Linked DNA regions of Diceros bicornis minor. Each later gene encodes a partner of the first gene's protein in a complex. Links are inferred from orthologs where the notes say so. Each region holds a gene or a part of one and is shown in the gene's direction. Other genes may lie near its edges. The genes, in order: GNAI3, TRPC5, RGS10 and RGS8.

What was found.
Region 2: the proteins of GNAI3 (region 1) and TRPC5 are in contact, whole or in part, in a cryo-EM structure (PDB 8GVX), measured with the Homo sapiens proteins. The link is inferred for Diceros bicornis minor from reciprocal best matches to the Homo sapiens genes GNAI3 and TRPC5. Residues at the interface, in NP_006487.1 of Homo sapiens: Arg205, Arg208, Lys209, Trp211, Ile212, His213, Phe215, Glu216, Glu245, Leu249, Ser252, Asn256, Lys257, Trp258, Arg312; in NP_036603.1 of Homo sapiens: Thr27, Glu32, Glu33, Glu56, Ile57, Tyr58, Tyr59, Asn60, Lys125, Pro128, Thr129, Leu130, Met131.
Region 3: the proteins of GNAI3 (region 1) and RGS10 are in contact, whole or in part, in a crystal structure (PDB 2IHB), measured with the Homo sapiens proteins. The link is inferred for Diceros bicornis minor from reciprocal best matches to the Homo sapiens genes GNAI3 and RGS10. Residues at the interface, in NP_006487.1 of Homo sapiens: Val71, Val72, Ser75, Glu115, Val179, Lys180, Thr181, Thr182, Gly183, Ile184, Val185, Gln204, Ser206, Glu207, Lys209, Lys210, His213, Ala235, Glu236; in NP_001005339.1 of Homo sapiens: Glu62, Phe63, Ser64, Glu66, Asn67, Ala102, Ser103, Ser104, Gln105, Val106, Asn107, Val108, Glu109, Gly110, Leu137, Lys139, Tyr140, Asp141, Ser142, Arg145.
Region 4: the proteins of GNAI3 (region 1) and RGS8 are in contact, whole or in part, in a crystal structure (PDB 2ODE), measured with the Homo sapiens proteins. The link is inferred for Diceros bicornis minor from reciprocal best matches to the Homo sapiens genes GNAI3 and RGS8. Residues at the interface, in NP_006487.1 of Homo sapiens: Glu65, Gln68, Ser75, Val179, Lys180, Thr181, Thr182, Gly183, Ile184, Val185, Gln204, Ser206, Glu207, Lys209, Lys210, His213, Ala235, Glu236, Asp237, Glu238; in NP_001095920.1 of Homo sapiens: Thr76, Glu77, Phe78, Ser79, Glu81, Asn82, Ala117, Pro118, Glu120, Val121, Asn122, Ile123, Asp124, Phe125, Gln126, Arg128, Leu153, Lys156, Asp157, Ser158, Arg161, Arg164.

Annotation. Positions count from the first base shown.
Region 1 is NC_080743.1:42,585,588-42,592,682, forward strand, and holds the start of GNAI3 (guanine nucleotide-binding protein G(i) subunit alpha-3), read left to right. Parts: upstream 1-4,082; 5' UTR 4,083-4,184; coding exon 4,185-4,302; intron 4,303-7,095. UniProt on the Homo sapiens protein: Heterotrimeric guanine nucleotide-binding proteins (G proteins) function as transducers downstream of G protein-coupled receptors (GPCRs) in numerous signaling cascades.
Region 2 is NC_080781.1:103,842,888-103,850,830, reverse strand, and holds the start of TRPC5 (short transient receptor potential channel 5), read left to right. Parts: upstream 1-4,941; 5' UTR 4,942-4,955; coding exon 4,956-5,333; intron 5,334-7,943. UniProt on the Homo sapiens protein: Forms a receptor-activated non-selective calcium permeant cation channel. Mediates calcium-dependent phosphatidylserine externalization and apoptosis in neurons via its association with PLSCR1.
Region 3 is NC_080745.1:82,339,684-82,347,565, reverse strand, and holds the start of RGS10 (regulator of G-protein signaling 10), read left to right. Parts: upstream 1-4,872; 5' UTR 4,873-4,932; coding exon 4,933-4,981; intron 4,982-7,882. UniProt on the Homo sapiens protein: Regulates G protein-coupled receptor signaling cascades, including signaling downstream of the muscarinic acetylcholine receptor CHRM2.
Region 4 is NC_080743.1:84,725,600-84,733,468, forward strand, and holds the start of RGS8 (regulator of G-protein signaling 8), read left to right. Parts: upstream 1-4,858; 5' UTR 4,859-4,951; coding exon 4,952-4,977; intron 4,978-7,698; coding exon 7,699-7,800; intron 7,801-7,869. UniProt on the Homo sapiens protein: Regulates G protein-coupled receptor signaling cascades, including signaling via muscarinic acetylcholine receptor CHRM2 and dopamine receptor DRD2.

The DNA of each region.
Region 1 (7,095 bases):
AGCTGGAGGATACAGGGCAGCAGGCCAGGTTTGGAGTTATTCCGGGGCCCTTTAGGATATTTCCTTTTTCAGTATAATTGTCCAGGGAAATCATTGCACCCAAGCAAGGTAAGAAAATGACCCATGTCTTCTCATTTCCTTGCTAGGTTTAACAAGAACTAAATTATAGCCAAGTGTTTCCATTTGAGTTAATAGATCTTTTTTTTAGTTTTAGACCTGAGGTTTCCTTAAAGTGAGAGGACTAGGTATATTCCTCTCCTGAGTTTGACCAGAAGCAGGAGGAAATAGCAATCAGTGTGCATCGAGTAGAAGACAGGAAAGTTGACTACAGCTCTCTGTCTTCCGCCCTCAAGCTTGATCTCAGCAGAAGCAAGACTAAGACTGGATGGCTCTTTCTCCTTGTCTTTTAGGATGAAGAAGTGGAAAGATTGGGGGCTGAAGATAACTTTTTTTATTATAAAAAGTTATACTGATATCATTTAAATTGCTAAGGTGGTTGGATACAGACAGGCCAGGCAATCACCCTGACCAGTAATACTATAAATCTTTTTTTTTTTCTCCCTAGGACTGGCCTTCCTGATCTCTCTCCTCATGGCAGTGACCCACCTCCAGCCCCCTGGACAATCGGGTACAAGAGACTAAGGTTGGGAATGGGAAAGGTGGGGTTTCCATGGTTCATTAAATGCCTCCCTACTCCCATTCATCGCTCTCAAAATTAGCTTCAGTGACAAAGACTTAATCTCTCTCCTATCTGCAGCCCTGGGTTGGAGACAGGGCACAGGAGTTGGGCTCAGCTGTTCACTGATTGAGACTGTAGGAACTGTGTTGGTTGGTATCGGTGGTGGTATTTTCAAGGGAAGGGGAATAATTGCAAACTAGACAGGACATCCATCTGGGACTACCTGTCCATCCCACTTCCCTCAATTGAATCAGGTGACATTAAAGGGTTAAGGTAGGACCAGAGGGTGGTGTGGTCTGTATTTAAACAAATTCCTGGCTCATCGAGCATCTAAGGGGAAGATGTGCTGGTGGGAGTGGGATAGATTCCCTTTGAACAGCCAATAAATAATTTTTATTATAAAAAGTTATACTGATATCAACATTGACTCCTTCAGTTCAATTCAGTGCATAATAGTTGAATACCCAATATTCTCTGGCACTCACACAGAGGATGTAGAGTCACTGCCTTCAAGGAGTTCATAGTCTAATTTGATCAGGTACCTTGTATTTTTACATCTGGTAAAGCAGTACAGAATGTATTTGAGAAATATATTGGAGAATATGCTCTTGGTTCTCACTTCTGAGAGTTCAGTCCATTGCAGCAAGATACGTACATGGAGGCTTCCTGCAGATTGTGAAAAGTATGAGGGTTGTAAATGAAACTCTAGTTGAAGAAAAACAATTTATTAAATGAAACTTGGGCAAATAGCTTTCCCCCTTCAGATCTAGGAAAATTTCCAGGTGTCTGTCTTCCTACTCCTAGACTTACTCTAGTCTAAGGCCTATTACATTGAGGAAATCCCTTGGATAGTATACACTGAGGAGAGTCTCTTGTGATTGAAAAACATACTCTCTCCTCCCTTTTAAGATACACTCATAAGAGAGGAATCTCATTCCTGAACAGGGGGAGAACTCTTCTTCCAAACATCATTGATCAGCTAGTACGGCCTAAGCATTGCCAGCAGGTGGCAGTGTGAGTCCAGCGGAAACAGAAAAGGTGCGGTTCGTGGGGTGGGGGCTCTAAACATTGCCTGGCAGCCATTTTGTTAATTTATTTTGCCTTTTCCTTTGACTTTGCCCTCCAACCCTTCCTTCACATACATCAAAGAAGAAAATTTTAAGTGCAAGGATATCTCTAATTCAGGCTGAAATTTCCTGACACTGTGATCTCACTGGAGTTTATTACAGAATTTGACATACGCTGGTTCATTTGCCCTTTCTTTTTCCCTGAGTGGATCATGAAGGAAATAAAAATTTCTTTTTTATTATGCTGAGAACTTTCCCAACAATTTCTGTCATGACCACCTTCCAGGAGTTTTCTAGTTACCAGGATTGCTTGGTAAAGTTCAAGATGTAATCCTTAGCTGTGAAAGCTGTTCCTGGACAAATTTTGACCTCTCTCATCCACTGAAGAATCAACAGGTTGAGACAACCGTTCCATCACTTTTTGCTGCACCCTAGTGGTGCTGGGGTAACTTTCAATCCTAGATGAAAACCTTCTGTTGTCAGGTCTCCCCAGGTAACATCTTAAAGTGGAATGGTAGAAAAGGGGTGAATTTGGAGTCAGATCCACTTACTCACTGTGTGAACTTGGGAAAGATGCTTAATTTCTCTGAGCCTATTTCCTCATCTGTAAAAATGGGGATAACATTACCTACCTCACAGGGTTGTTGTGAGGATTAAGAGATGACACGTGGAAGCATCTAGCCATACCTGGCAAATAGGAACTCAATAAATATTGGTTTTTCTTCCCTTTCCTCTTGCCCTTTTTCCCCCACAAGTATTGATTATGGGAAAGAAGTCCCTTCTATTCTAACAGGTTTGGGAATGAGTAGACTTTTCAAACTTTGAAGAAAGGGCATTGATAAATTATGGTGGATGAGGCTGTTTAAGGTGGCTCTCAAGAAATCTAATTAATGAATCATCACCTTACACACCTTTCTGTTGCGACTTTACATTCTAAGGTTTAGATTCTATTAGGGAAATAATTTTTTTGTGTGTGTGAGGAAGATCAGCCCTGAGCTAACACCCATGCCAATCCTCCTCTTTTTGCTGAGGAAGACTGGCCCTGGGCTAACATCTGTGCCTATCTTCCTCCACTTTATATGGGATGCTGCCACAACATGGCCTGACAAGCAGTGCATTGGTGCACACCAGGGATGCAAACCTGGGCGGCCAGCAGCTGAGCGTGCGCACTTAACCGCTACGCCATGGGGCCAGCCTGGGGAAACAACTTTTAATCACAGGGAAAGGTTTTGGGGGCTACAAGAGGTACCCTCCCTAGAACGTATAGTGAGAGTATTTGTGGGGCTATGTGGCAGTCAAGGTAATTTAGGGCCACCTTCATGGTAGTACCCAGGATTATAAGTGAAAAAGGTTATCAGTCTGGGGCTTTTATGGGGGATTTATTAATTTTCAGGTGATGCTACAGCTGAGAGGCAAATTCTACTAGAACTTCCCTTTTTGGCTATCACAAAAGGAAATTTTATTAGGAGATTCACAGGATGCACTGGTTTGTTTTGAGGTGTGGGTCAGGGGTTGACTAACCTTGGTACGAATCCTAAGACCCTAACGCAGTACAATCTGTAAGCGCCCAAACTGCCTTATATCGGAGAAAGGCAGCATGGAAACTTTATGGAGGAACTACACGCTTCCCTTTCAGATAATCGAGTACGCTAGCGATTTCAAGTGGCCCTTTGCCAACACAGTAGCTAGGCACCTCTAAAGCCCACAGAAATTCGTATGAAACGGCCCGAGGACCAGGGTCCATTTTGAGAGCAGGAGGCAGTGGGCTAGAGAAGGCAGAAAGGGATCTGAAGTCCTAGGCATGGTCTTACAGATCTCAGATGCGAAGCGTGGCCGGGGCCCAGGCTTTGGAGTTTGTTCCCATCCCAGAGATCTGCCTGAAATGGCCCCGGCAGAGGAACTGTCCTACACTTGGGCAGGGGCCACGGGTCTCTAACGTTAGAGATCAAAGGGGCTTTCTCGCCAGTGAGAAATTCCCAGCAGAAATTCCCGCGCGGGCTGTGGGCTATTATTTGGGAATTCCTCCCACTCACGACCTCGCCACTCACGACCTCGGGAGGGGGTCATGAACTGGAGAAGGCAGTCCCTGGTTTTTCTACAGTTATTCAAATACAGCAGCCGAAAAGGTGAAAGGGGACTAAGGTCGAGCTCGACATGACCTGGCTACCCACGGCACTGCGGCTGAACCTCACCGTCCCTCTCCCCGTACTTCCGCTTCCTCTCGCGCCTCCTCTACCCCACCTAGAGAGGTTCAAGCAGTAACGGCCGAGGGGCGTTTCCGGAAGTGTCGTAAACACCGGATATCCGGTTCCTCCGGGAGCTCCGAAAGCTGACGGAGAGGGCCGCCGCCCAGTAGTAGGCTCTGTGTTAGCCAGCCGAGCTGCGGTTTCTGCGGGGTGTGAGTGAGTCCGGGCCCGGTCCCCTCTCCCGCCGCCGCCATGGGCTGCACGTTGAGCGCCGAAGACAAGGCGGCGGTGGAGCGGAGCAAGATGATCGACCGCAACTTGCGGGAGGACGGGGAGAAAGCGGCCAAAGAAGTGAAGCTCCTGCTACTCGGTGAGGGGCTGGGGGCGGGGCTGGCGGGGTCATCGCGAGGGCCTAGGCACTTGGGAGCCCAGAGCGGGGTCAGGCCGGGCTGGCGGAAAGGACCCCGCAGGGATCTGGAGGGCGTGACGGGCATGGGGCGGGGTGTTGGGTAGGTGGCTGAGGCCCCGGAGGGCGTCATGAGGAGGTGGGGTTTTGGGGTTGTAGGAATTAGGCTGGAGAGAGGGTGTGACTCTGTGCTGAAATTGTGTTTACCGAAGAGAGCTTGGCAGCGTGGGGCAGTAGGACGTTGAGACTGTGTTAGGAATATGGGAAAAGCTCATAAAGGAAAAGCCGATATTAGGGACGGTTTTGCAAGGGGTTGGAGTGCGTTGGTAGCAAGCAGGACGGGGTAGTGTGTTGGGCTTGTATAATGGCTTTTGAGTTTGGAGCGTAGTGCTACTTTATGACAGGATAGAGCTGGGAGGCTTGGATGATTAATGTAAATAGAGAGAGGGGCTGAGACAGAGTGGTCACATAAGGACCCTGTCATTTATTAGAGAGTGGGCATTTTGAACTCTGGGTGAGCTGGAGGAACCCTGGATTTTCCAGGAACATGCAAGTGTGTGGTTGAGATAATGACACGTTCTCATGTATAAAGGAAAAGAGCTTGGGTGCAGAGGCTGTCTGTACTTTTCCAGCTGTTTCTGTAATTTTTGTTCTCTTAAAGTTTTGTAATGCCTTCCCTTGTTTTTATAAAGGAGGAGATGGTGTGAGTTGAGGAAATTTGAGAACTGGCTTGTTTGAGGTTTGTGGCAAAAGGCGTAGTGGACAATAGATTACATATTGGGAGTTGCTGAATAGTTGCTAGGGATGATGTGCTGTGGAAATGGAGTTATCTTAGGATAAATTATGGAATTGGACATATTTACTTTAAAAGCTGTGACAGACTTCTGGTGAACTGTTTTATCTTTTTTGGTCTCTTCAAACTAAAAACATTGGCTTTAGGAATTACTATTTTTTTTACCTGACATTTGTTTTAAGTAGCTTTTACGTACAGTCAGATGCATTTTACTCAGCATGATTAGTTTTAAAATTTTTGTGAGACTGGCTTCTGGAGGCTCAGTTAATCATGTAAAGTACCTAGGCATCCACTTACCAATAAATAAATCAAGCCACATTTCTTTACTATGAGTATTTTCTAGGGATCTTTAGAGGAGAATAAGTAGGAGTAAATGGTTTCTGCAAGCAATAGAACTTTACTTTTTAGAACAATTGACTTTTGAGAAAAAGAAGTCACTTTAGGAGAAGTGCTAGATTTTCATGGTGTAAAACTCCAGAGGACAGAATGTGCCACCATAACCCAAGACTTATCTTGTACTCCAGGATGTGTGGGGTGCCTGTGCTAGTCTCTTCATGATAACATGTTTGGTGGTTTGTAGATTGCAGAAACCCTGGTAACAGCTTTTTGGATATAGGGGGAAGGTTATGTATTGGAGCTTGGGCTCCAGTTTGAATACATGATCTTTCAGAATGCATGAATTTAAATTGTAGTTCTAGATTGCCACTCTCTATGTAGCAGGTATCATTTGTGGATGAGCATGGTCCCTGGCACGTAGTAGATGCTCCTTAAATATTGACTGTCAACCAGCATGAGCCGGCTAATGTTGGATGTTGCTCTTTGGGGGCTTTCAGATGTTTGATGTAAACCATAATATGTACTCAAGGCATTAGCATTGTCTATATTGAGATTGGTTATGAAATTGAAGGTATGTTTTCATCCTTTGTGAGTGTTTTGATTTACATTGACTGTCAGAGATCCCCTCAGGACATTAGCCTATTGTAATATAGTTGTAAACTGTGAGGCTTTCTTCCAAATGGCGGGATTTGGCTGGCAGAACCTATACAAGCAGAACTTGTCCAAATGTCTAGAAAAATCTTTGTTCAGGACTTTTTAAGTAGTGCATTTAATTAAAAACAAAATTAAACACATGATGACCTGGGGAACTTCAAAAGCAGTAAGTAAAAATCCAAGTACTAAAGCATTTGCTTTTAATTGTTATCAATTTCGTTGTTTTAAGAAAGATTTTTTTATGTTCTTGAGCAAGTTAAATCAACAGCTTCAAATAGGTTGCAGAGACAGATGCTCTTGCTTGAACCATATCATAATGCACATATGAAATTAAAATTATCTTCCTTTTTCTATAAGCAAAATGCATACATCACAGTATGTAAGTAATTTTTTTTTTGCTGTAGAATACCCCTTTTGATGTATATGTAAGTCATTTTTACTTCATCACTGAAACTATCAAACTTAGTCTAAGTTGAGAACTGTTTACTTACCCTTGTCTCTCCTGGCACGTAATAGGTGTTCATTAAATCTTACTGTATTTTCTTCCTTGCAGGGATGTAGTATGGCATAATGATTAACCATATGGGTTCTGAAGTCAGACTGTTTTACATTCTAATTCTCATTTATCAGCTATAACCTTGGGAAAGTTATTTACTCAGTTTTTCTCTGCCTCGGTTTCCTCATCTTCAAAATGGAGAAAATAAAGGTACTTTCATAGGATTGCTGTGAGGATTAAATATGATAATAAAGTAGAACACAGCCTGGCACGTAGTATTAGCTCAATGAATATTAACTATTATTGTTATTATTAAATCAAAATGAACGTTACAGATTCTGGGGCCAGCCCGGTGGCGTAGTGGTTAAGTGCGGGCACACAGCTTCTGGGGCCTGGGGTTCACAGGTTCGGATCCCAGGCGTGGACCAACCTACCACGTGTCAAGCCATGCTGTGGTGGCGTCCCATATAAAGTAGAG
Region 2 (7,943 bases), on another chromosome or scaffold:
ACTTGAGATTGTACAAGTTTATGAGATTAAGTCTACTTGCCTTAAAGGGCTCTCAAGAGATAGACAAGTGGACAGATAAGCATGGATACGGGTGAGAGGTCACAAAGGTTTCACCATTCAAGCTCAATCCTCATGGCACAGAGTGCAAGCCATGCACAGATACCATGTTCCTCCAAAGGCACTATTTTTTTTTTAGTTAGGTGGAAAACTAGGCTTTCCTCCTCACAGACAAAGTCCTGAACTGGGCAGTGAGCTGGGCTGGGATTTGGCAAGACCACTTTGTGCCCTGACCTTCTGCCCAGCCCATTGATTTAGCTCTTTAAATTGCATCGTTTAAGCCCACACATGTCACAGATACCATTAGACAAACTCCTCTGGCTAGCAGCACAGAAAAGAGAGAACATGATAAGCCCCCTGAGGCAGTCTGTTAGACCATTCCTAATCTTTCATGCTTGGGGGACTACATTGGGAGTGGGGTTCACTCATAGAATGGCATGAAGTGCTGGCTGGTTTTGTTTTGTTCAGTTAAGAATACACCTCAAGGCCAGTGTATAATGATGGGAAAGCCAGCCTCATCTCTTGGCTTAGGTTAATGGCAGGTGAGTGCAATCTGCCAAGTTTAAAGGTAAAGGGTGATGGAAAGGAGCCTTCCCAATAATACATCCTCAAGAAAGGCCAGAAACTCCATCATTAGTTACTTATTCCCAGAATAATGGCAGAGTAGGACTAACAGCAAGCATATGGAGAAAGGATTGGTCCTAGAGCCTGCAGCAAGGCTGAGGCTAAAGCTGTGCGAGTCAAGTGGCACAAGCTGTGGGGAATGGAAGAGGGAAGGGCACTAGGCAAGTCATTAGATATCTACATAAGCCTACATCTAGACAGACAATGCAGGGAACCCCTTTTACATCACTCTCACTGTGTAATGTAGAGGTGTGCATGGATACATAAAAGAGATTTCCAAAGCTGGACATGAGGCCTCTCCTTTCCCCTCCATTACATCTTCCCTGTCCCTCTAGACACACATCTCTTTACACCCAAGGCCACAGCAACTTTCCAATGAAGGAATCTACATTAAGGTGTTACTAGCTGTTAGCCATGTGATTTATTATTCCTTCCAGGGGTAGTATTAGAGATGCAGTGCCTTAAAGCAAAGGAGTGACTCTCTAATAGTACAATCTCAGGCGAACCTCTGGAGGAGATATTTTTCTCTACAGGGGAATACAACGAGGCTTCTCATAACACAGCCCACTGGAAATGCAACAGACCAGATTCATTTCAAATGCAAGAGATAAAAAGTAAAACTAGACTCTGAATCAACTATATATCATCCAATTATACTTACTTCAAGTCTCAAATTACCATGATCTTACTGTCCTCTCTCTTTCACTACTATAACCCTCGCATCTGGCACATAGTGCGAGTTCAGTGAATGGTACTGCTTGTTGCCTTCATTATTATTACTATTAGAAGCAGCAGTAGTAAGCGTGCTGCCCCAGTACCTGGCACAGTGCCTAGGACATATCAAGCATTCAAAACTATAATAATTATTTTATTGCATCAGCTCCTGGCATAGTGCCTTGCACATAATAGGGCACCAATTGAGTTAGTTACCTTCGTTCTCACCTTTCCCTGTGATATATTTGTCTTCAGTTTCCCTCACAGCTGTGCCTTATTAAAGTGGGCACAGATCTTCCTGTAGCAATAATGCTCAGCCCAGCATCAACAGTGATACCATCTGAAAAGACATCTAGCCTTTTCTTCCATGGTAGCCTCTTAAATGGCAAATGGGCAGCAAATGTTTAAGATCATTTTTTTTATGAGGAAACTGAGGTTATAAGCTCTTGCCTTGGAACTTTAGCTCACCTCTAATCTTTGTATCCTATTATAGCCTGAAAAATATACCCCCCACCACTGTCTCCCAACTAGGCCATGATCAATCTCACTACTTTTGTTCTTGCACTCAGTAGTGCCTGGACTACTCTCACATTTTCACATTTAATTCATCTTCCAAGGACTGGCTTAAGAGCTACCTCCTCCGTGAAACCTTCTCTGAGACCTCCAGCCCTCACTGAGCTCTTTCTGAAATCCCAAAGCATCAAATCAGTACCACATAATTTAGCACTTCGTTCCACGACTGTGCCAACCCTCCTCAGCTAGATTATATTTGCTCATTAAACATCTATTTGTTGAGCACCTGTCGTGTTCTAGACCCTGTGTGAGTTCTAGGAAGGCAGGAATCAAGGTACTTCTACCCTAATGGAAGACAAATATGCAGTTGGGTGACATTGAAAAAATGTGATCCAAGTACCAGTGGAGAACTCAGAGGGAGATTGTCTAACTTTCTGACAGCATTGGGGGAAGGCTTAACAGAGAAGGGGACCTACAAGCAAACTCCTGAGAAGGAGTTTATTAAGTGGAAAGAATGGGATGAAGCCATGTACAAAGGCAACTCAGAGAACATGGATAGACTTAACTTAGTGTGACTAGAGCTAGACTAGACTAGAACTTAGGGTGGGATGGAGAGAGACGAGAAAATATCATGGAAGGTTTACTCATGCATTCAGCAAATACATATCAAGCATCCAGGGTGTGTCAGGAACTGGGCTAGGTGCAGGTGCTAGAAAAACAGAACAGATGCAATGCCTGCACTTGAGCTTTAAAGAGAATTGGACAAAACAGCCAATTACCCAGTAAGATGAAGAAATATGTAACTACAAATTGTGATAAACATTAAGAAGGAAGAGAAAAGAGTACAGTGGAGAGAAGAATATGAAGGAACTTCTCTGAAGAGGTGACATTTTGTTGAGGCTTGAAAGATGAAAAGAGCTGGAGAAGAGTGTTCCAGGCCATAATCAAAGGTCTTGAGGTGGAGAAAAGTTTTGCATGTCAGAAAATCAAAAGAAGCTCCATGGGCTAAAGAATAGTGGATGATGGAGAGCGTGGCTTAAGATGAGGTTGGAGAGGTAAACAAAAGCCAAGACCTAGTAGACCTCAGAAACGAGGGTTGATTTCATCACCAGAGCAGCAGGAAACTAACCAAGGAGGATTGAAATGTGATCAGATTTGTGTTTCACAGGATAACTTGGGGGTTCTGTGGGAGACGATCTGAAGGGGGAGAGAATGGAGTAAGGATGATTAACTGTGAGGCTGTGGAATGGTCCAGGTGAGAGACGATGAAGGCGGGGGTCTGTTCTTTCATATCCTCTAAAAGTGACTAGCATAGTGCTAGGCACACTGAAGGCTTCTGCTGTGTTCGTCTTTATTAAATAGATATAACGTGAATTGGGTTGTTGAGTGTCTCTTCAAGAGATTACACTCTCTCTTCTTCCTCTTCCCTTTTTGTTTATAATGGAGATGGGGAGGCAGGGAGGCAGTCTACAATTAGTATTATTAAAGTCATTTGCTGTTTAGTGACAAATGCTTGTTCTAAGTGCCCTTTTCCTTTAGCCACGCTGAGTTACTTGAAAGTAGCACAGGAAAATATCAGTGCTTCTCAAGACAGCAAAACAGTACCCTGGTCTCCTGAGATTTGGGTGCAGAGAGAAATTTGTCATTTGGGCCTGTTCAGGGCAAGAGGCAACACTCACCTTCAAATACTAACTTCCAGAAGATCACAAGCACATGAATTGCTAATGCCACTTGGTATAATATATGCTTCTCCCACTTCCAAAGCAGGGATGTAATTACCTGGAGGAGTGAGGCAAATGTTTGTGGAAGCTTCATGTCTCTATCTTCTCTTACATCCAGGAGATGAGACAAGAGGCCCTTTATCACATTTCCATTTCCTTTTGCTGGCAAAACAGTTGAGTAATGAAAGACACTTAAAAGAGTCCATCCAAACTCAGCTTCCAGAGCATCCTGGAGGGAAAGGGGGTTAATCACCTAATGAGTCTGAGCCTCATCTTCTCCCCTAACTAACAGGGTTAGTTCAAGGAGTCAGTGAGGAATGTGCATGCATTTGATCTGTAAACTACGATGCAAGAGCTCTATACTGTGATTCATTCTGTGCAATCGAAGGCAAAGACTGTATTTTTTTTCTTGGTCTCCCAGAGAAAATTAAACACATTTTAGAAACTCAATAATAGGTTTTACTTTAAAATCAATGCTATTAAAATCTGGCTTTAGATGTGGTGCATATAAAACAGACCATACACTTCTCAGAATTGAATCAAACAGATTCTCAGATCTGTCAGCTCCTTGGTTTGGAATGATGGAGGAAAAAATCATGAGTGGGCAGAGGGGTGCATGACTTTGGCCTATTGGAGCCAGTACTCCTTCCCCAGTGAGCAGCAGAAAGAAGCAGGGCTTCAGTTAGCACTAAAACAGGATTTCAGTCCAGGATCTGCATCTGGGAAAGCTGCAAATGTAATCCTGAAAATTAGCACAGGCCCACAGGCCCAAGGCCCAAAGGAAATTGGCCCAAGATGAACTTCAACTGTGCATCACCCATCAGAAGTATATCACAAGTATTTTCAGGTAGCAGAAGGGAAGGAAGGAACTAACTGGTGCCATGTCTCAGGAGGTTTACCCTGTGCCAGTTGCTTTGATAATGTATTCCTTCACTTAACTCTCACAATAGCTTTATGATGTAGAAATTATTCTTCAGCACAGGGCCTAGTACACAGTAAGCAATCACTAAGTGATAACTCCTGCTAACGGTATTAATATTGATAAACTTAATAAACTGAAGCACAGTGGGCTTGAGTAGCTTATCCAAGGTCACAGAGCTGGCAAAGCCAGGATTTGAGCCCAGGTCTTTCTGATCCAAAAGCCTGGGATTTTTCTGCTATACCCCTTTGCAAGAGGAGAAAGATTATGGCACTAAAACAGTTTAGGATTTTCCAACCCCTTAGCCAGGCTGCCTCCGTAAGTGGCCACTTGAGACCTTCAGATATCTAAGAATATCTTTGGCCTCCCTCTCTCTCCTCACTCAGGTTTCTAAATTGCTATGAACCATGGCCCAACTGTACTACAAAAAGGTCAACTACTCACCATACAGAGACCGCATCCCCTTGCAAATCGTGAGGGCTGAGACGGAGCTCTCTGCAGAGGAGAAGGCCTTCCTCAACGCTGTGGAGAAGGGGGACTACGCCACTGTGAAGCAGGCCCTACAAGAGGCGGAGATCTACTACAATGTCAACATCAACTGCATGGATCCATTGGGCCGGAGCGCCCTGCTCATTGCCATTGAGAACGAGAACTTGGAGATCATGGAGCTACTGCTGAACCATAGCGTATATGTAGGCGATGCATTGCTCTACGCCATCCGCAAGGAAGTAGTGGGTGCTGTGGAGCTTCTGCTCAGCTACAGGCGGCCCAGTGGAGAGAAGCAGGTAAGAGAAGTCCCTACAGGCTGGGAAATAACCAGGGACAACAGGGCACTAGGGTCACAAGCCTGGAAACTAGGGAAGGTTAGGTAGGCTAGAGTTGAGAAGCCCTATCATGGCAACCCTCTGCTTTCAAAAATAGCATCAGTAATCTCAGGTGATGTCCTAGAGCTACCCTGCATGGCCTACACTGAGTTTTACTCATTTGCCTTTTCCTTATTAGTATTTTCCCATATACATTCAATACTTAACAACCCAAAAGTATGCTCTCTGTTTCCAGAATATCCAAGTTCGTTCTACCCTCCCTACCCCCTGCTCTCTATCTTCATTTTCTTCCTCTACTCAAAGGTTACATTCTAGAAAAGGAGAGACCAAACACAGACCTGGGCTTCCTCCTTCTCGCCACCCTCTATCCTGAAGAAGGAGAGGCCTTTAAACTTCAGTGTGCCCTATGCAGATGCAGATAGATACAGGGACTCACATATTTTTCCAGTACCCAGCATGTGACTGCATTCCACCCCAAGATGTCCAGGTTTTTGCCTTTTTGATTTTCCTATCCTCCAAGGCACCTAGGTTTAATGCTGTGGAGTCATCTTTGAGTCCTTCCTCTCCCTTGCCTCTGTGTCCAATCCCCAAGCCATGTGGTTTCTTCCTTCCCCCTCTCTCTTACATGCTTCCTTTCCTCTCTAGCCCAGCTCCCACAACTCTGCCTCTGCTTCTCATTGTCTCTCTCCTAGATGAGTGACTCTCAAAGTGTGGTTCCTGGACCAGCAGCATTAACATCACCAGGGGAGCTTGTTAGAAATGCAAATGCAAATTCTTAGGCCTCACCACAGACTGACTGAATCAGAAACTCTGGGGGTGGGGCCCAGCAAGCTGTGTCTTAACACCCTCCAGGGGATTCTGATGCACACTCAGGTTTGAGAACCACTGTCCTAGACTGACATGAAAATCTTCTAACTGGACTCCCTGCGTCTAGCCTCTTTCTTTCTCTAAAGCCATCCTGAACAATGATGCTGTCTTATTCTTCCCAAAATAGCATAATAATCCTGTCATTCCTGTCCACCTTTTCAATGATTACAATGTCTCCTCGTTAGAAAAGAAACCAACTCATGAAGCCTAGCATTCAATACCCTTCATTAATAGTCTGTTCCAGTCCTGTCTCCCCCTAGTCCCTTCTAAACCCCTCAAGTCAGAGAGGTCTCTTCACTGTCTCTCTTCCTTTGGAGCATGGTAGAGGCACATAGTAGGGACAAAGAAAATATAGAGTCATCAAACATGGAATACTGCAGTATATTAAAAAGTAGAAATAGTACAAATCAAAACCAAAATTGCGAAGTATTTAGAAAATATTGGTAATGAAAACACTCAATATCAAATCTTACGGGATATGACCAAAGCTTGGTTTAAAGGGAATTTATAGCTTTAATATGTGCCTAGTTAAACAAAAATGAATGAAAATAAGATAAGTGACAACTCATAGACTAAGAATTAGAATTCATAGAGCAGAAAGCAAGACACTAGATTAAAAGTTCCTTGAGTAAAGAGCCTGAATCCCCCCATTCCCCATCAGCATTTAACACAGAGCCAAGAGAGGAGGGACCTTGTCTCTCGTTTTCACTGCTATATCCTAGCACTGGGAAAGTGCCTGCAATGTTACAGGCACTCAATAAATACCTTTTTTATGAATGAATAGTATGCAACTAGCACTGTGCTAAGTATCTTACATGACTTACCTCATTTAATCCTCCCAACAACTTTGTAGACACTATTTTTACCATCCCCATTGTACCAATAAGAAAAATTAAGTCACAGGATGGTTAATTGTCCAAGATCTCAATAAATGTCAGAGCCAGGATTCAAACTCAGGCAGCCTAACTCCTAAACCCACCCTCTTAACCACTTGGCTATACTGCTTCCCTGGCAGTCTGAGTAAGTTTTAGAATTCTCAGCATGGGAGTTCTGAGACAGGGTAGATCAGTGGAGGATGGATGAGCTCTCTGGAAAGGACAGGCCTACAGAATTTGGATGAACAGCAAAGCAGAGTGGTATAAACAGGTTCCCTTCTCAGTCCATGTCACTATCCCCATCAAAACTGATTTGTTCTGTGCCCCATTTCCCCAGAGCCCTGCTAAGTGCCTGAGTGATTTAATGTACTAAAATCTTAACTAAGGCTTAGCCAGCTACCCTGCTCCATGATGATCTTGCCCACCTCTGAGATTATGTAGCCATTGGCTCTACCCTTCACTTGACACCAATCACACACTACTATGTACTATTGGTCAGTCTTAGTTGTGTAAATGTCTGGTCTCTGTAACTAGATTGTTTCTTAAATGTGAGGCATAATCTAATGCCCAACTGTTTCCATGCTTCCCCCATCAGTACCTAACCCAGTGCCTCATATATAATGGGTTATATATAAATATTTGCTGATGAACAAGAACGTGCTGCTGCTGATGAGTTAAGTGTATCTCCCAGAAAAGCACATGGCTGATTGAACAAGACATCCTGGACATTCATATTCACTTCCATTTAGCTTCATAACTGTTTTGAAAGAGAAGTGAGGACAAGGGAGATTCCAAACAGGGGGCTAGCAATGCCAGCCCTATCTGAGTT
Region 3 (7,882 bases), on another chromosome or scaffold:
TAAAACTGCTCTAAAAAATAAAGTCTTGGGCCGGCCCCATGGCTTAGTGGTTACATGCGCGCGCTCCGCTACTGGCGGCCCGGGGTTCGGATCCGGGCGCGCACCGACACTCCGCTTCTCCGGCCATGCTGAGGCCGCGTCCCACATACAGCAACTAGAAGGATGTGCAACTATGACGTACAACTATCTACTGGGGCTTTGGGGAAAAAAAAGAGGAGGATTGGCAATAGATGTTAGCTCAGAGCCAGTCTTCCTCAGTAAAAAGAGGAGGATTAGCATGGATGTTAGCTCAGGGCTGATCTTCCTCACAAAATAAATAAATAAATATTTTTTTTAAAAAAATGGTATTAAAAGCCATGAGACTTGATGAGATGGTCAAGAGAGTAAGTGTGCAAGAGAAAAGAGATCCAAAGACTAAGAGTACAGTGCCCACCTTTAAAAGGAATGAGAGGGGCCAGTCCAGTGGCATAGTAGTTAAGTTCATGCACTCTGCTTCAGTGGCCTGGGGTCCATGGGTTCGGATCCCAGGCACGGACCTACAGACTGCTCATCAAGCCATGCTGTGGCAGCGACCCATATACAAAATAGAGGAAGATTGGCAACAGATGTTAGCTCAGGGCCAATCTTCCTCACCAAAAGAGGAAGGAAAGGTGTCAGTGTGAACAGCAAATGTAGCAGAAGAAAAACTAGGAGAGCGTGGTGTTCTGGAAGTCAAAGAAAGAAAGTGGTTCAAGAGGGAGGGAGGGATCGACAGGGTCAGATGCTGACAGTGGGTCAAGTAAGATGGAGATGGAACTAACCGTAGATTTTCCAAGGTGGAAGTCATTGTGACCTTACAAGAGCAGGTTAGTGGGGTGGTGGAGTTGAAAGTCAAACCGGAGAGGGTTTAGGAGAGTGGATGGAGATGAATGGAAGACAGTGAGTACAGACAACTCATTTGAGGCACTTTGCTGAAAAGTGCTGTAGTGAAATAGGGCAATAGAGGAGTTTTATTTTGGTTTTGAGATTGGAGAAATACAGGTATGACTGCTTGCTGATAAAATTAATCTGCCCTGTTCCCAATTAGAATCTTAAATGTACATAAATTTCTTCCTTTTTAGGTTCATCTTCATGGATGCAGCACAGCACAAGATAGAGAGGGCTATACCAGGAAGAACACCTGCCTACCACTCAGGAAACCTAGTGTCACATCCCAGCTAAAGCTATCTGGGCCTCATTTTCCTGATCTGCAGCACAATATGCTGATCTCCCAGGATCCCTCCAGCTGTGATATGCCGTGAATGTGTGACTTGAAATGCAAGGGAGATCAAAGATGGGAAAAGCAGTTGGTGTCTGCTTGCTGCTTCCATGGGAAATTAAGAGTTTAAAGAAAGCAAAACTAAATGTTGTAAAAACGTGGGCTTAAATATTTGTGGATTAAACCCAGTAGAGATTTTGACCAGTTTCCAACTACTGATTTCCCCCCAATTTAACAGCATATACACTGCAGAAATTTTGCAAAACAGGAAAATATAATAATAAAAGTTTAAAATTACCCATTGTCCCATCATCTAGAGATAAATACTGGTAACATTTTGGTATAGTTTCCCATAAGCTTTCTATACATGAATCTACTATATTTCCTCCCCTCTCCCATTGGACATTTTCTCTATATTTATGTCCTGATTTTTAAAATGAAAATTTCATCATAAGCATGTTCCTTCATCATCAAATATTCTTCACACAGTTCTTACAACTGTTAAATGTTCTATCATAGGAATATACTGTAATTTAGTCATTCCACTAATGAGCATTTATAGCTACTATAAATAGCACTGATAAAACAAGTGTTATGATATTCAACTTTACACATAAATCTGTGCATCTCTTATTATTTCTTTGGCATAAATTACCAGTTGTAGAATTATTCACTGGTCCAATAGATATAAACATTTTGAAGGCTCTTATACATGTTGCCAAATATGCATCTTACCACATCTTCTCTCTTGCCTTTCAGACAAGTTGTAACAATTGACTTTCCTCCCTTCACTGTCAGTTGCAACACTGTTACTAACCCTGCCAACTTCATATAATTTCTTTTAAAAACGTGGCTTTTCAAGGTGTATAGGCTAAAGTTTATTGAAACAGCAGTGTAAGGGGAGTAAGAGTAATTAGATTCCAGTACATTTTTGTGTGCCTACATGTGCTGGCACTGTGCCGGGCACTCCCTTGTTTATTGCTAGCTAGCACACACCCTTAGAATGGAGGTGTCATCCTTTCCTTGTCCAATCCTGTGAGGCTGTGTTTAAGGACACACAGCTGGTCTGCTATATGGCTAGGATTGCCAGGTCTCTTGAGTCCAAGTCAGGCACTTATTTATTTACTTATTTTACTATATACCTCACCTGCCTCAAATAGCCTAGAATATTCTTTATAAGAGTCTCTAAAATATATTTTACATAATACATTTTATTATAAGAAACTATAATATATTCACAGCTTATTAAATTTTTAAAGTTTCTGAATAGAATAAAAAATACTGAACTCTAAAGTCAACGATCACTCTGAAATTCTGCTCTACCAGAAGACATCCTAGGCTCTTGTTCCTCGTCTGGTCTGAATGAAGGTTGTTAATGAAAGGTGAGACTACCAGAGGTAAGGAAGGGGCCAAACTGCTTGTCCTCTTCTTGCCCAGATGGGCTACCATTGTTAGTGAAGGCTTGAGATGAGCTGCAGAAAGTGAATGATGCTATTTGGATGGCAAGCACGTTTAGCCCATCTGCAAACCACAGGCAGAACTTTAAGTGTGTGTGTGTGTCTGTGTGTTTTCTTTTGGCAAGCTTTAGGAACTCTGAAGACGGTCTTGTAACGTCTGGAAACAAAAATTTCCTGAAACAAAAATTTGAAACTGTGTACATTAAACTTTAACCATGGGTCTTTATTTTTGTACTCAGCATCTGATATGCCAACAGGACAGTAAAAGTGATTTGAAGCTGTTCTGTTTTCCTTCATTTCAGAACGGCCTGGCTGCCTTCGTAGCTCAAGAGGGATTCATAAGCATGTCCTAGGCCACTCCCGGGTTTTTCAGGACACTGCGGGGGTGGACCCGGCAACTGGAGTAACCTTTAGCTACGCCCAACTTTACCCACTGTGCGCGTCTCCTTATTTCCTGTGTTAGATTACTTGTAATTTGGTTTCCGGAGAAGTTTTCTGGGGAGGTGTGTTGCACAAATTCCCTTGTTATTGTTATGAGAATGCAGCGACCTCACTTGCATCCAGAGTTTAAAAGTTCTGCTCTTGCTGCCTGTAGCTGAAGTATCGCAGCCCTGCCCCTTTACAACGGAGTGGAAGCTTGCGGGGAGCCCACGCCCGGAGGAGGCCAACCACGGGAGAGGTTTTTAAAATTGAGCTTTTTAAAAAAGCGGTTCCTGGTCACCGTGGTCTCCTCGAATTGCAGCTGAAAACCCCTGTAACCTTCACGAGCCAGAAAAGCCGCTCCCGGTAGCAGAGGGGGAGAGCGCTTAGAAATACTCGGAGGGGAAAAGTAGAGAGAGAAACCAGAAGCAACCATAGAAGGCCGGCGACGGGGTGGAACTGGGACCGAGGGGGTGAGTAGAGGGAGGGAGGAAAAATTAGCAGAACGGGAAGCTCAGAAGAGAAGACATAAAAAAAGTGCCAACTAGTGAAAATACTGCAAAAGGATGGGTGAAAGGGGGCCGACAACTGGGGAACGGTAAATAGCAATTAGTACAGCTAAAAATAAAGGCCAATTTAGAGACAAAGCCAGATACACAAGGAGAAAAAGACTCGCCAGAAAGACAATTCCTTGCAAACCAAATGCTCAAGAATATGGGGCTAATGACACCCCTCTTGAGCTGTTTTGCAGAAGAAATGAGGTAACAGGTTAGAGAGGAGCGCGCGGCGCTGAGCAGGTGACTGGCGGTGGGAGAGGTGAAATCAGAACAAGAGCGCAGAGCTGACCTGAGTGATTCCGAGCGTTGCGCGCAAAGGCCCTGCCGGAACGTGCGCCACGTGTCCCCAAAGTTAGAGAAGTGTCCTCGACCAACCCGTGTGCTGGGCAGAGGCATCCCTCCGCGCTGGAACCCAAGAGGTTCCTGCAGAATTCCCCCGAGGTCCGCCTCTGGAGCCTCAAGGCCAAGGGGAGAAGGCGCCGAAGTTCCGGCGCCCGCGCAGCGCGGCCCGGGGGAGGGCGCCCACCCGCGGCGGCTCGGCCTGCTCCGCGCGCGGGCACCGCGGCCGGGGCCCCGGCGACGCCCCACTGGCAATCGCGGCCATGGGGAGGCCCAGCGCCCACGGAGTCGCGGGGCGGTCAGGGCCTGGCGCGCGGAGACGAAGGCCATGGGCCGCGCCCAGGTTTTGCAGAACCGCGAGGCCTGAGGTGACTCCCGCCTGCCGCCCCCGCGAAGGCGCGTGGAGCCATGAAGCGCGGGGCGCCCTGCCCGTTTTTCGGGGTTGCAGGGAGAGGGCGGGAGACTGGGATGGGCGCTGGAGTCGGGAGCTGGGCGGGGTGGGGCCCAGGGCAGCTTCTTGGGCGAGCCGCGCAGAGCGGCGAGGGGGCCCCGGGACGCGCGAACCGCCGGGAGCAGGGTTCCTAAATCCCGGGCGGCGTGGGCTCCCTCCGGGCGAATGCGCTCCCTCCAGGGCGCCGGGCCGGGTCCTGGCGTTTGGGAGTCACCGGGTCTGCCCCAGCCCGCCCGGGTACCCCAGGGGGGGACCGTGGGGCCCACGCCGGGGCGCGTGGGCGAGCAGGCAGGGCGCACCGAGCGCGCCACGCGGCGCCTGGCGGGGAGGAGCGCGGCGGGGCGGGGGCCGGGCGCGCCGGGGCGGTGCTGAGCCGGTTCCTCCTCCTGGGCCTCCTCCTCCTCGCCTTCCTCCAGCTCAGCCGCTGCACCGCCCGGGTGCTCCTCCTTCCACCCCCGGGCGCCCGCGGCGATGTTTAACCGCGCGGTGAGCCGGCTGAGCAGGAAGCGGCCGCCGTCAGGTAAGCGGCTCCCGGGGCCCGTGGGCTGGGTGTCGGGGCTCCCCGAGGGACCGCGAGGAGCAGCCCAGGCGGGCGCTGCCCACCGGGGGCATCTTTCCCTCCCTCCTGGGCTCGGGCGCGGCTTGGCGATGCCGCCCGGACGGGAGCCCCAGCTGACCGCGCCACTTCTCTCCGCCTGGTCCAGCGTCCCTTTGGTCCCAGCCGCGGCGGGAGCGCAGAGCCCGGAGAGGCACCCCGGGGAGGAAGTTTGGCCGAAAGGGGAAGCAACAGTAGTTTTCTTTTTAGTGATGATCTGGGAGAAAAAGGAGATCCAAAACAGCCCCAAACTTTGGAGGTAGTATGTGCTCTAGATTCCGAAAGCAGAACGTCGCGCGGCGTCCCCGGCTTCTGGAGTTCTCTGCCTCCGCTGCGGGCGCTGGTGCGAATGATGCCCGCGCGGCGCCCGGAGGAGGCACGGCTGGACCCCGCGCACCCGACTGCAGCCCGGCCTGGGGTGCCGGGCGCTTTCAGTTCTGCGCGGCGGAGCCGAAGTGTGGGGCCGCGAAGGAGGGTGAACACCAGGGTGGAGAAGTGGTTCACACCAGGGAAGGCGCCCGCAGACATTACAAAAGATTCGGCTTGGCTGTCACAGTGGACCAGCCTGAGCCACAATTTGGAGCAATTTGATAGGACAAAGAACCCACGGTGAAGAAGAAATCATGCACTTGATTCCAACCATCTTACCCTTTTTGTTCATAATAATAGCTACGCCCCTTTGAGTGCTTAATGTGGGCCCGGGTCTGTGTTCACCAGGTTCTGTGAATTCTCTCTTCACTCCTATGACAACCCTGTGAGATGGGTATTGTTATCGTCACTTTCCAGAGGAGGGACCTGAAGCCAGGAGCTGTTGGGTAACTTGCTGCAAGTCACACTTGAGAGGTGGTGGAGAATCTTTGAAACCCGAGTTGGCCTGACTCTGGAGTCCAGAGGCATTTGTGCCGCCTCCCACTCCAGGAGTCACTCCTGCGTAGTACTAAAAGTCTGTACATGCTGGTCTGTGTCCTTTTCTCACCTAGTATATTTTATGAGGGACTTTGTGGTTAAGAGGATGGACTGGAACCAGACTCGCTGGGTCTGAATCCTGCCTCCACCACTTACCGGCTGTGGAACCTCTCTGTGTGCAGTTAAGGATCAGCAAAATGGGAATAAAATAGCTACCCCTCTTTAAGCACTTCAGTGGCGCTGTTTTTCCCATCCATCAAATTATGCAAATCATCACATTTGATATTTAAGACAACTCTAATAAAGTAGGGTTTCAACTGTAATAAAGTAAGATCTCATAGGGTTATCGTAAAGAACTTGTATTGATGTTAGTGGGCATGTAAACCTTGCCGTGTCGCCTGTGGGTCAAAGGATTCCCCTGTGGGTGTGCATTGTAGCCATTCCCTGTTGTTGGATATTCGTAGGCCCATGGAGCGGTGGTCAGACCCAGGACTCTGGAGTTAAACTCCTGGTTCCCACCCTGACTGTCATTCAGCGACTTTGGGCAAGTTACTTGACCTCTGAGCCAAGTGCTAAATTATTGGGAAATTTGGGAGCTGGTTGCTAAATCATAGATCATTTGAAATTGACTGTTGGTGAATATTTATACCATGGAAATCAGCAAATGCTTAAAATCAAGGGTTTTCCCTCTTAGGAGAGCCCGTTTACCACCACACCTTTGCATGTGTTTTCCCATTTGTAACGTGGGTTTCGTAGAGTTGTGGGATTAAGTACGCTAAAACATCTGAAGTCCCTAGTACAATGCCTGGCACATAATAAATGAGTAATAATAGTTAGCTGTTATCTTTTCCCCCTTTTCCTATTATAAACAGAGCTGCTGTGAACTTCTCTGCATTAGTTATTCATTGCTTTGGATCATTTTGAGGTTGAAGTCTTCCAAATAGAACAACTGGATTATGGGATATACATGTTTTGGGGTGTTGTTGCATGTAGACAGGTTGCTGGGCCAGTTTTAGGGAGTGCACCTCTTCCAGGGCAGCAATTTTTAAGCCTGCTGAAACGTGGGGAAGTTGCTGATAGAAAGGTGGGTAGATAAACATTGTCGATTGGTATTGGATGCCTGGCCTCCAAGAGCCCGATTTCTTTAGAATTTTTAGGTTTAAAGTCTGCCCCTCTGGTGGGACAGGACAAATGATCCCCTGCCATTTGGTCATCACCACTCGGCAGCAGGAAAAGAAGCCCAGTGAGAAAGGGGTATGTGGCCCCTAGGCGGAGGCCCTGGGAAGCCAGCCAAGTAATCCACGGGACCCTCTACTGAATTTTTTTTGTGTGTGGTAATTTTGAATTAGTTTTCTTAAAGAGGCTCTCTAAATTGGATAAGCTGGGTCTGCCATTGCAGGACCTCTGATTTGGACCTGGCTACAGTCCTGCCTCCTAGCACCTTTCTTTCTAGACCTTTCCTGCTTCTAAGCAACATCTTACAGGAGACAGTGTCTGTAAGCGGAGGGTTTGGAGTTCCTAACCCCTAATTCCACGGTTCTAAGTACAATTTCCTTATTTTCCTTTCTGAGGTTTCTCAAAGTGTGTTCACAAACCACATGGCAGGGGGGAGGAGCTTGATAAAATGCAGCTTTCCAGGCCACACCTCAGACCCACTGATTCAGTCTTGGGGACCCAGGTGGGGAGGGAGAGTAGGCTGCGTTTTCAACAATGCCCCAGTTGATCCTTATGACACCGAATTCTGAGGAACCCTCGACGGATTCTGCCCCCCGTCCTGCCCCTGACAGCAACTTGCACTGTTGATGGTAAGTGGGATGCTGCTCACTTGAAAGCAGAGCCACAGCCACAGCCCTCCACCACCTGCGACCAGACCGAGGGGCGACCCACTGGGGGAATCCCTGCCCTGCCAGGCAGACCTCA
Region 4 (7,869 bases), about 42 Mb from region 1:
CAAACTAGAGTGCTGCGGGGTTATTCCTTGGCGGTTAGGCGTGTTTGGTAAAAAAAGTTTGGACTAGTTTTAATTTTCTCTTTTTACTCATGCTAGATGCGTGTCCACACATTCTTGTCCCTCTCTCTTTACATTCCTATTCTTTCCTTTAAACTTAATTATTATGTCTTTCCTTAAACAGTGGGTTGGCTTATTGACTTTCTGTGATTATATTGTTTCTCTAAAGGCTGACTGAAGATTCTGAAGCCTGATTAATATTGGTCAGCTTGCACTTGAGATGTGGGCCCATCCGCAGCCCTGACCTTTCTTCTCGGTGCCTTTAAATCCTGGATGCCAGACTGGGCAGCATGAGACATGGAGGAGGCCTCTATCCCACCATTTTAGCACCAGCAGAGGAGTCAACTGATGACATACCTTTGCGTTAAAGCGAGGGGCAGAGCAGAGACTGGAAGCACGAAGTTTAGTATCAGACACCAGCTCTGCTACTTATAAAGGACCTGTTTTGTTTTTCCATCTGTAAAATGGGGATAGTAAAGATGTCGACATAGTGAGTTTGCTGTGAGAGTTAAATGAGATAAGGCAAGTGCAACGTTTATCATAGTGTCTGGCACATTTCTCAGAGCTCATTAAACATTAGCTATGTGCATGGAATCCAGGGATGGATCTACCTTATGGTACAAACTTATCTTGGATTAGGGAAGTGCTTATCGACGGGCTTTTTTTCACCAGTTCATATGTGTACCTGTTTTTTATGGTACCAGGAAAATGTCCAGACATGAAGGATTCTCTTTATGCTGAAATTCTAAACCCAGCTAGCAACAGGTTTCAAGACAGGGATTATGAGGGATAGAATATGTTTCTTTTGCATCTCATTTTATAACACTAAGTTCCCTTTACCTAACAGAGGGGAACTGTGGACATTTCAGAGAGAGACAGTGAGTCACTGTGGAGGAAGCATCAGAATTTTTATGTCATCCCTGTCATCAGGCAACGTGTGGTTGCGGCAGAATCACTTCACCGTGAGAATACGGGTTATGCACCAATAGGTCTGCCAGGAAGACTGGGTCCCGGCATGACGTAGTAGAAAAAGCTCTGCTGTAAGAGTCATAAGAAAACGAGTTCTGGTCCTTGAGCTTCCTCTTACGTGTTGTGTCACTTTGAAAAAAGCATGTCACCTTTTTTAGCCTTGGTTTTCTCATCTGTAACACGAGGATAATAATACTCTCTCTGACTGTGGCGTGGGGTTGTTGAGTGACAATATGCGAAAATGCTGTCTACATTGTAGAAGGTTAACCAAATGGAATCTAACATCTTTATTATGAAGCCATCACTTTCCGCAGAGATTTCTGCTGCCTCTAGCAAGTGCTGCCTTCTGGGTTTCAGAAATGACTTGCAGCAAAGGTCAGGTGCTTTTGGAACTTGTTCCTGAGTGGGAGCAGGAGACTCAGCCTTAGAGACCTAGAGCGGATTGAGGAGAAGGCAAGCTTTATCCCAGGGCAGTGGTTTGCAAACTTTAGCATGCATCAGAATCACCTGGAAAGCTGGGCCCCAACCCCAGAGTTTCTGATTCTGTAGGTCTGGGGGTGGGGCCTGAGAATTTGCATTTCTAACACATTTCCAGGTGATGCTGCCGCTGCTGGTCCAGGGACCACACTCGGAGAACCGCTGCACTAGGGCAAGCAGGAAGAGAATCCTCCTTCTGGAACTGAAACAGGCAGTGTGAAGATCCATGTGAGTAAGGCGGCTTGGAAGAAAAAATGTAGAAGACAGAAAAATAGGGATAATGTGCAGATTGGGCAGAACAAAGGGAAAAGTCTCATTCCGTAACAAATGCGAGTAGGGGGAAGTTGCTAGGTGATGGATGATGAAGAGAGGTGAATTTCCACTGCAGGAAAAACCAGGAGCGCAGAGTTAGAAATATACATGTTTGGGGAGGCAGAGGAGGTGGAAATTTCTCATTAAGAAGTGAGGAGTGGTGTGGTTGGTGCTGGGGGGTGGGCGTGGAGATGGGCTGGGGGAGAAATGCCTCTGGAGAGTAAGAGGGACAGCTGAGATGTGGCAGAAGGGGGTAATTTCAGGGCTGTGTGGTTTAGCTTGGCAGCGCAGCACAATAGAAATCGGGAGCAAGGGGGTGGAATTTAGATGTGTGACCTGCCCCATAGCGTTCTTGCTCTCTGCATTTATCACATCACATCACACCCAGCAAGACAGCCCCCCTCCTCCTGGCTCATTAGGAGATTTGATTCGGCTTGGCTCCTGCTGTCAGCAGCTGTCTGGGGCAAGATCTTTATGCTCCCTGCTCCCTGAACAGCAAGCAGCCTTCGGCCAGCAGCAGAACTCATTAGAAGAGGCCCCCTGGACATTTGATTTTCAGGTCATTGGTGGCCGGAAAGAGTTAATACCTACAGCTTTGCTGCCCCCTGCACAGCCTCTGGGTGCAGAGGGAGGCAGCTTCGGGCTGTGGAGACTTCTCCCTGAGCCGCAGCCAGACGAGCATAGAAGCAGGTTAGTGAGGCCAGGGAGGAAGGTGCGGGAGGAGTGCCAGGCGAGCTCTGCTCAGGGGCACCTCCTGCATCCTGCCAATGAGGATGGGTGTGCAGACGGTGTCCCGGAGCTCAGCCGCCACCCGTTGGGTGTAGGCTGCTTCAGCATTTACTGGATGTGACAATCAGAGAGCAGAGCTTTCAGTGGGGCTGCTTGCTGCCCGGCTCAAGTGGCGGGAGGTGTGTTGTGCATGCATGCGTGTATATATGTGTGTGTATGCGCGTGTGTCCATGTGTGTCCATGCACACATGCCCTTCACCCGCCAAGGATTTGACTGCTAAGAGAAAGATCTACTCTTTCCCCAGAGCTCCTTAACCCGCAGCCTCTCTGACCATCTGGTTGGCAAAGACCCGCAGGCCATGAGGACTGGTCAAAGACAGTGAGTATTGCTCTTGCTTGTCTCTTTCCCCTCCGGGGTGCCCGTGTGGGCTGATTGCATTATCCATATTTAATTAACCTGCCTCTCCTTGCATATTGATTGCTTTCTCCCTGCTGAGGCTCTTAGTTTCTCTTCCCCTCTTTATACATCTTTGCTCTTTGCTTTTAACCTTTGTTTTTTCCTTGAGTATCCTCTCTTTCCATTCTGTCCCATCCTGTCTGCCCCAGAGTCACCTGTAACTTGATGTCCACCTATCAGGGCACGTGTAATGTGGGTACAATCATACCCTCAGCCTTCCTGGGCTCTGGGTAACCCCAAACACTGTCCCCCAGAAGTCAAGGGCCATGTGGGATGAGAGCCCTGAGGTGCTGGGATGAATGAGGAAGGTGGGTCAGAGAAGCCTGCAGGTTCTTATTTAATCAACTCCAAAGCTGAGCTAATTGAAGGGGCGGTGGAGGGTCCCGGAAGCCACGGTGGGCAGCGCTGGATTTGGAAGAGAGAGAGGCAGGCATCTAAGCCGCTCCAGCTTGCTGGTGTGGGCTAGCAGTGGAACGGGAAGAGCGACAAGGCAGTGACAGGAGGCCGGGTGATAACCGCCCCAGATGACCTTGCCTGCTGTGTATGTGGAGAGTAGTCCCTGGTTCTGCTCAGCTCCAGGGTAATGAAGGTCCCTGGCACGGACTCCCCCTCCTCTGGGGCATATCCCACAAGAGAGAGAAAATGAGGCTTAGGTGCCCAAAATAATGATTTCTAGAGACCCTTACAGCTGTAAAGAGCTTTGATTTCCTGACTTCTGGGCAAGCAGGTGTATGCACAGTTAAGACAAAGATTACAGAAGTGTCCCAGCTGTCAGGGAGCCCGATCCACGCTCCATCTCCTGGGAATGAGCCTTTACATAAAGTCTAACGGATTTTTTTTTGGTTTTAACAAAGCCATCTTTTTATTTTATTAATTGTGGTATTATTAGAGCAGGTATTTAAAAAAGTATTTGTGAAATGTTCCAGGTAATATCAAAATGATTTAACCAGCGTAGACCACATCGAGGCCTTATCCATCTAAATTAGGTTTCTGTTAAAATGGATTCTATGTTCGGTGTCAGGGTTCCCCAGGGGAACCCTTTATGTATAGGCTGCTCTCTTCACATGTTTCTTCCTATTGGTGGTCTTCTGTGAGAACAAAGCATTTGAAGCACTGAGAATGGGACCCTCAGGAGAGAGAGATGATGAGTCAATCAGCCCTAAACCTCAGCATCCCTCTCCTGGTGTCCTCCCTTCTTCCGGTCAGGAATGGGCCAGTCCGCAGGCTGAGGAAGGCCGGGCAGCCTCCATATGGGCAAGAAAGAGTGACTTGCACATTCATTTATTCAGCCTGTGCCTGTCATCCCTGCAAAGGAGCAAGCCTGTATGGTGACAGTGCCTGACAAGCTCCCTTGGAGTTGCTCCAACCTTCCTCCCGCTCACGCCCTCCCAAGGCTCCTCGAACTCCCACCTCCAGGACAGGTTCCCTTGGAGGGAGGTGAGAATCAGAACAGCAGCCAATCAGATGATTCTGGAGCAAGTGCTGACCCCTCCCCCACCCCCCGCTGGCTGGTCACTTGGGCCCCACTGGAGTAAGACAAAGAGAGCAGTAATTTTTGGCTAGCCAGGCCCACGCCCTCCTCCCCTGGGGCACATGTCCCACTATACTGTCGATGGCCAGTGGTTGGGAAATAGAAACTCCTGACCAAAAGGCAGCCATGTGAAGCCACCTGACAAGTTGTTCTTGTCCATCCTTGGTTGGTCCCCCTTGCTCAGGACCAGCAGATGTCTGTGGGGAATGGGGTGCGTGTGGGGAGGTATTCACTTGGTGGAAAGCCGTCTGAGAGGATTTGTAGCCCCATTAGATAAGAGAGGGTGGCCCCCTCTTACAGCAGATTCTTTGATTTTAGGTGAGAGGACGTGAAAGGGTAAATCCCTGTGCCCCGCAGTCTTATCCCGCCCTGACGTCCCTGCAAACCAGCCAGAGGGTTAACCGTAAGCGGGTGCCTGTATGGCCGCTTTACTGATGCCACGCAGGTAACTGATGCTCACCTGTCTTCTTGTGCCTGCGCCTTTCCTCCTTCTCCATCCTCCCACCTCCCCTGCTGTTTGATCCTGCCCAAGCCGTCTAATCCGGTGGGTGGTCCGCTTGCATCCATCCCCCAGGCCTCCTGTGTGGACTGCACTGGCCTTCCCTGGGTGCATCTTGCAAAATTGTGGCCTTGCAAGCAGGACCTGCCTTAGCGCCAAGCCCTCCCATTGACTGGTGGGACTTACGGGGTGGGACAGTGCATGAGCTTGTATGGAGCCATTTAGGGAGCTCTATGAGTTACTGGACAGCGAAGAAATGAGGGCGAGCCTAGGTATTTTTTCTTTGTAAACTTAACCTTTGTCTCTTGCTTCTGCTCCCATTATTTCAGACCTAACTAAAAGGTTATAGCTCAGGTCACGGCTAGACAAGATGGCAAATCAAAACCATTTTGTCCCAAAGATTATTTTGTGGAAGAATTTAGCTAAGATTTGGGAGAATCACTGTTGTCTTGGTAAAAAGCAGCACCTTTTACACTGGCCCCTGCTCAAACTTTGTTAGATGGCTTGGGTGGAGTATGCCATTTTTTTTTTTTTTTGTGTGAGGAAGATCAGCCCTGAGCTAACACCTGCCAATCCTCCTCTTTTTTTGCTGAGGAAGACTGGCCCTGGGCTAACATCCATGCCCATCTTCCTCTACTTTATATGGGACACTGCCACAGCATGGCTTGAAAAGTGGTGCGTCGGTGCGTGCTCGGGATCCGAACCGGCGAACCCCGGGCCGCCGCAGGGGAGCGCGCGCACTTAACCGCTGCGCCACCGGGCGGCCCCTGGAGTTGCCATTTTTTGAAATCCTCTTTATTGCTCTTTGGGGGTATCAACCTGACTATTCTATGATTGACGATCCTGAGGCACCGATGATCGAACTGACTCACTGAAAGTTAGGTTTTGGCCTGTGGTGCAGCCTTAGCAAGACCTTTACTTGGGTTCACGGAATGTGATGACTCAAGGGCCTTTAATCAGTTGTTTGCATGGCCTGGTGTCGGAGCAGCCTGTGATTTGTAAGAGTGAGTGGACATAAGATGCTCACTGTCGCAGGGGAGAGAACGGCTGAAGCCAATGTTTTGAAATGCCACAAAACTGATTCACAGTGGGCCTGGCGGAGATGAGTGGGGAGCACAGGGCATGCAGGCCCAATTTTCTGCAGGAGAGGTGATATTTCTGGGAACTTGGGTGTTCCAGCCTTAGCAGACTCCTCAGAGATGGACTGTGGAATACAAATGCTGTCTAGCCTCGCCAAATATAATACCATCCCAGTAGACATCTGTTAGATAAGATTTCTGTGAACAATTACCAGGGTCAGGGATGAAAACCCATTTGAAGTAAAAGAATGAGATTGAATTGGATGACCTCTAACGCCTCTGCCCAGGCCTGGGATTTGTGAAAAAGAGGAAAGAAAAGCCAGGCTGGAAGGACTTCCTTTCAACAGGGAGAATGACATCTTCTACGACTATTTCCATGCCAAATTGTTACCAGTGTGCACGTGGCAGTCCCCTTTTATAAGTCACTCTTAAGTCCTGATCTGATTATAACAACCCCCTCCCACTTACCTTTGCCCTCCATGCTAGGAGTTGTCATGGTTGAAGGTCAGGGGTCAGTAGACTTCTGTCAAAGGCCAGAGAGTAAACATTTTCAACTTTATGGGCCATACAGTCTGTGTTGCAACCACCCAACTTCTGCCCTTGTGCTCGAAAGAAGCTTTGGACAATATGTAAACAAATGGGGAGTGTTGTGTTCCAATTGAACTTTATTTACACAAATAGGCACCTTGCAAGGCTATAGTTTGCCAGTCTCTGATTAAAGGTAAAAAAGGGCTAATGTTGGGAGTCAGAGATAGACATTAGCATAATTTCTCACTGGATCCTCCGCAACAGATTCAAGTGTCTGGTCCTTAGGAAAATAAAAAAATATGAGAAATTTAAACATGCATGTTAAAATTTTAAACATGCTGATTGAGATAAGCCAAAATATAAAGAGGGATACGAGGGCTTAGTTAAGCGACTAGAAGAACTGCCAAAAGGGGCGCTGGTTCTTAATTGCTGATTGTACCTTGCTCTTCTCCTCACCTGCAGTCATCGGTCCTTGCTGGTCTGTAGCCATTCAGGTATATCCCCAGGTTTGTAGGATGAGTGGGGAGAACCCGAGGCAGAACTGACCTGCCTTGAAGCCCCGTACTTTGTGCTCTGAGACTCTGTGAAATGCACCCCTGTCTTATGCAGGAAACCCCCTACTCTCTGCGTGGGTCCTACTTCTGGGGCTTTGCAATCAGGAGCTGCTGCTGCTTTGCCCTCCTAGTGGGAGAACAAAATGTAGATTGTTATTTTGTCATCACTGTATTTCCTTTCCCTACAGAGAATCCTAATTTAGAAATTCTTCCAAGCTAACGACCTTCAATGACTTACCATCAACTTGCCATGTCAGCTTTAAAAAGCATTAAGCCTCTAGGGGTAGGGTACCTATTACTATTCCGGGAGTCAAGATAGGGAATGAGTGTATCCCTTGATCTTCTAGGTGTTTCTCCTCTTGTTCATGAAATCTTCAGGGGCCACCTGGAGAAGGACGGGGGGTAAGCAGTGCTGGCTCTGGCAGCAGCAGCTCCAGGGGCCCATTATAGAGCTGACAGCTGTGATCACGACATTCCCCATCCTTCTGCCCCTGTGCTTGTTGCAGGAACAAAGGGATGAGGACTCGACTGGGATGCCTGTCACACAAGTCAGACTCCTGTAGTGATTTCACAGCTATTCTTCCCGACAAACCCAACCGTGCTCTAAAGTGAGTAGTGTGGCCACATGGCATTCCTGGGGTACCCACCATGGGGTGCTACTGTGGGGCTATAGAACC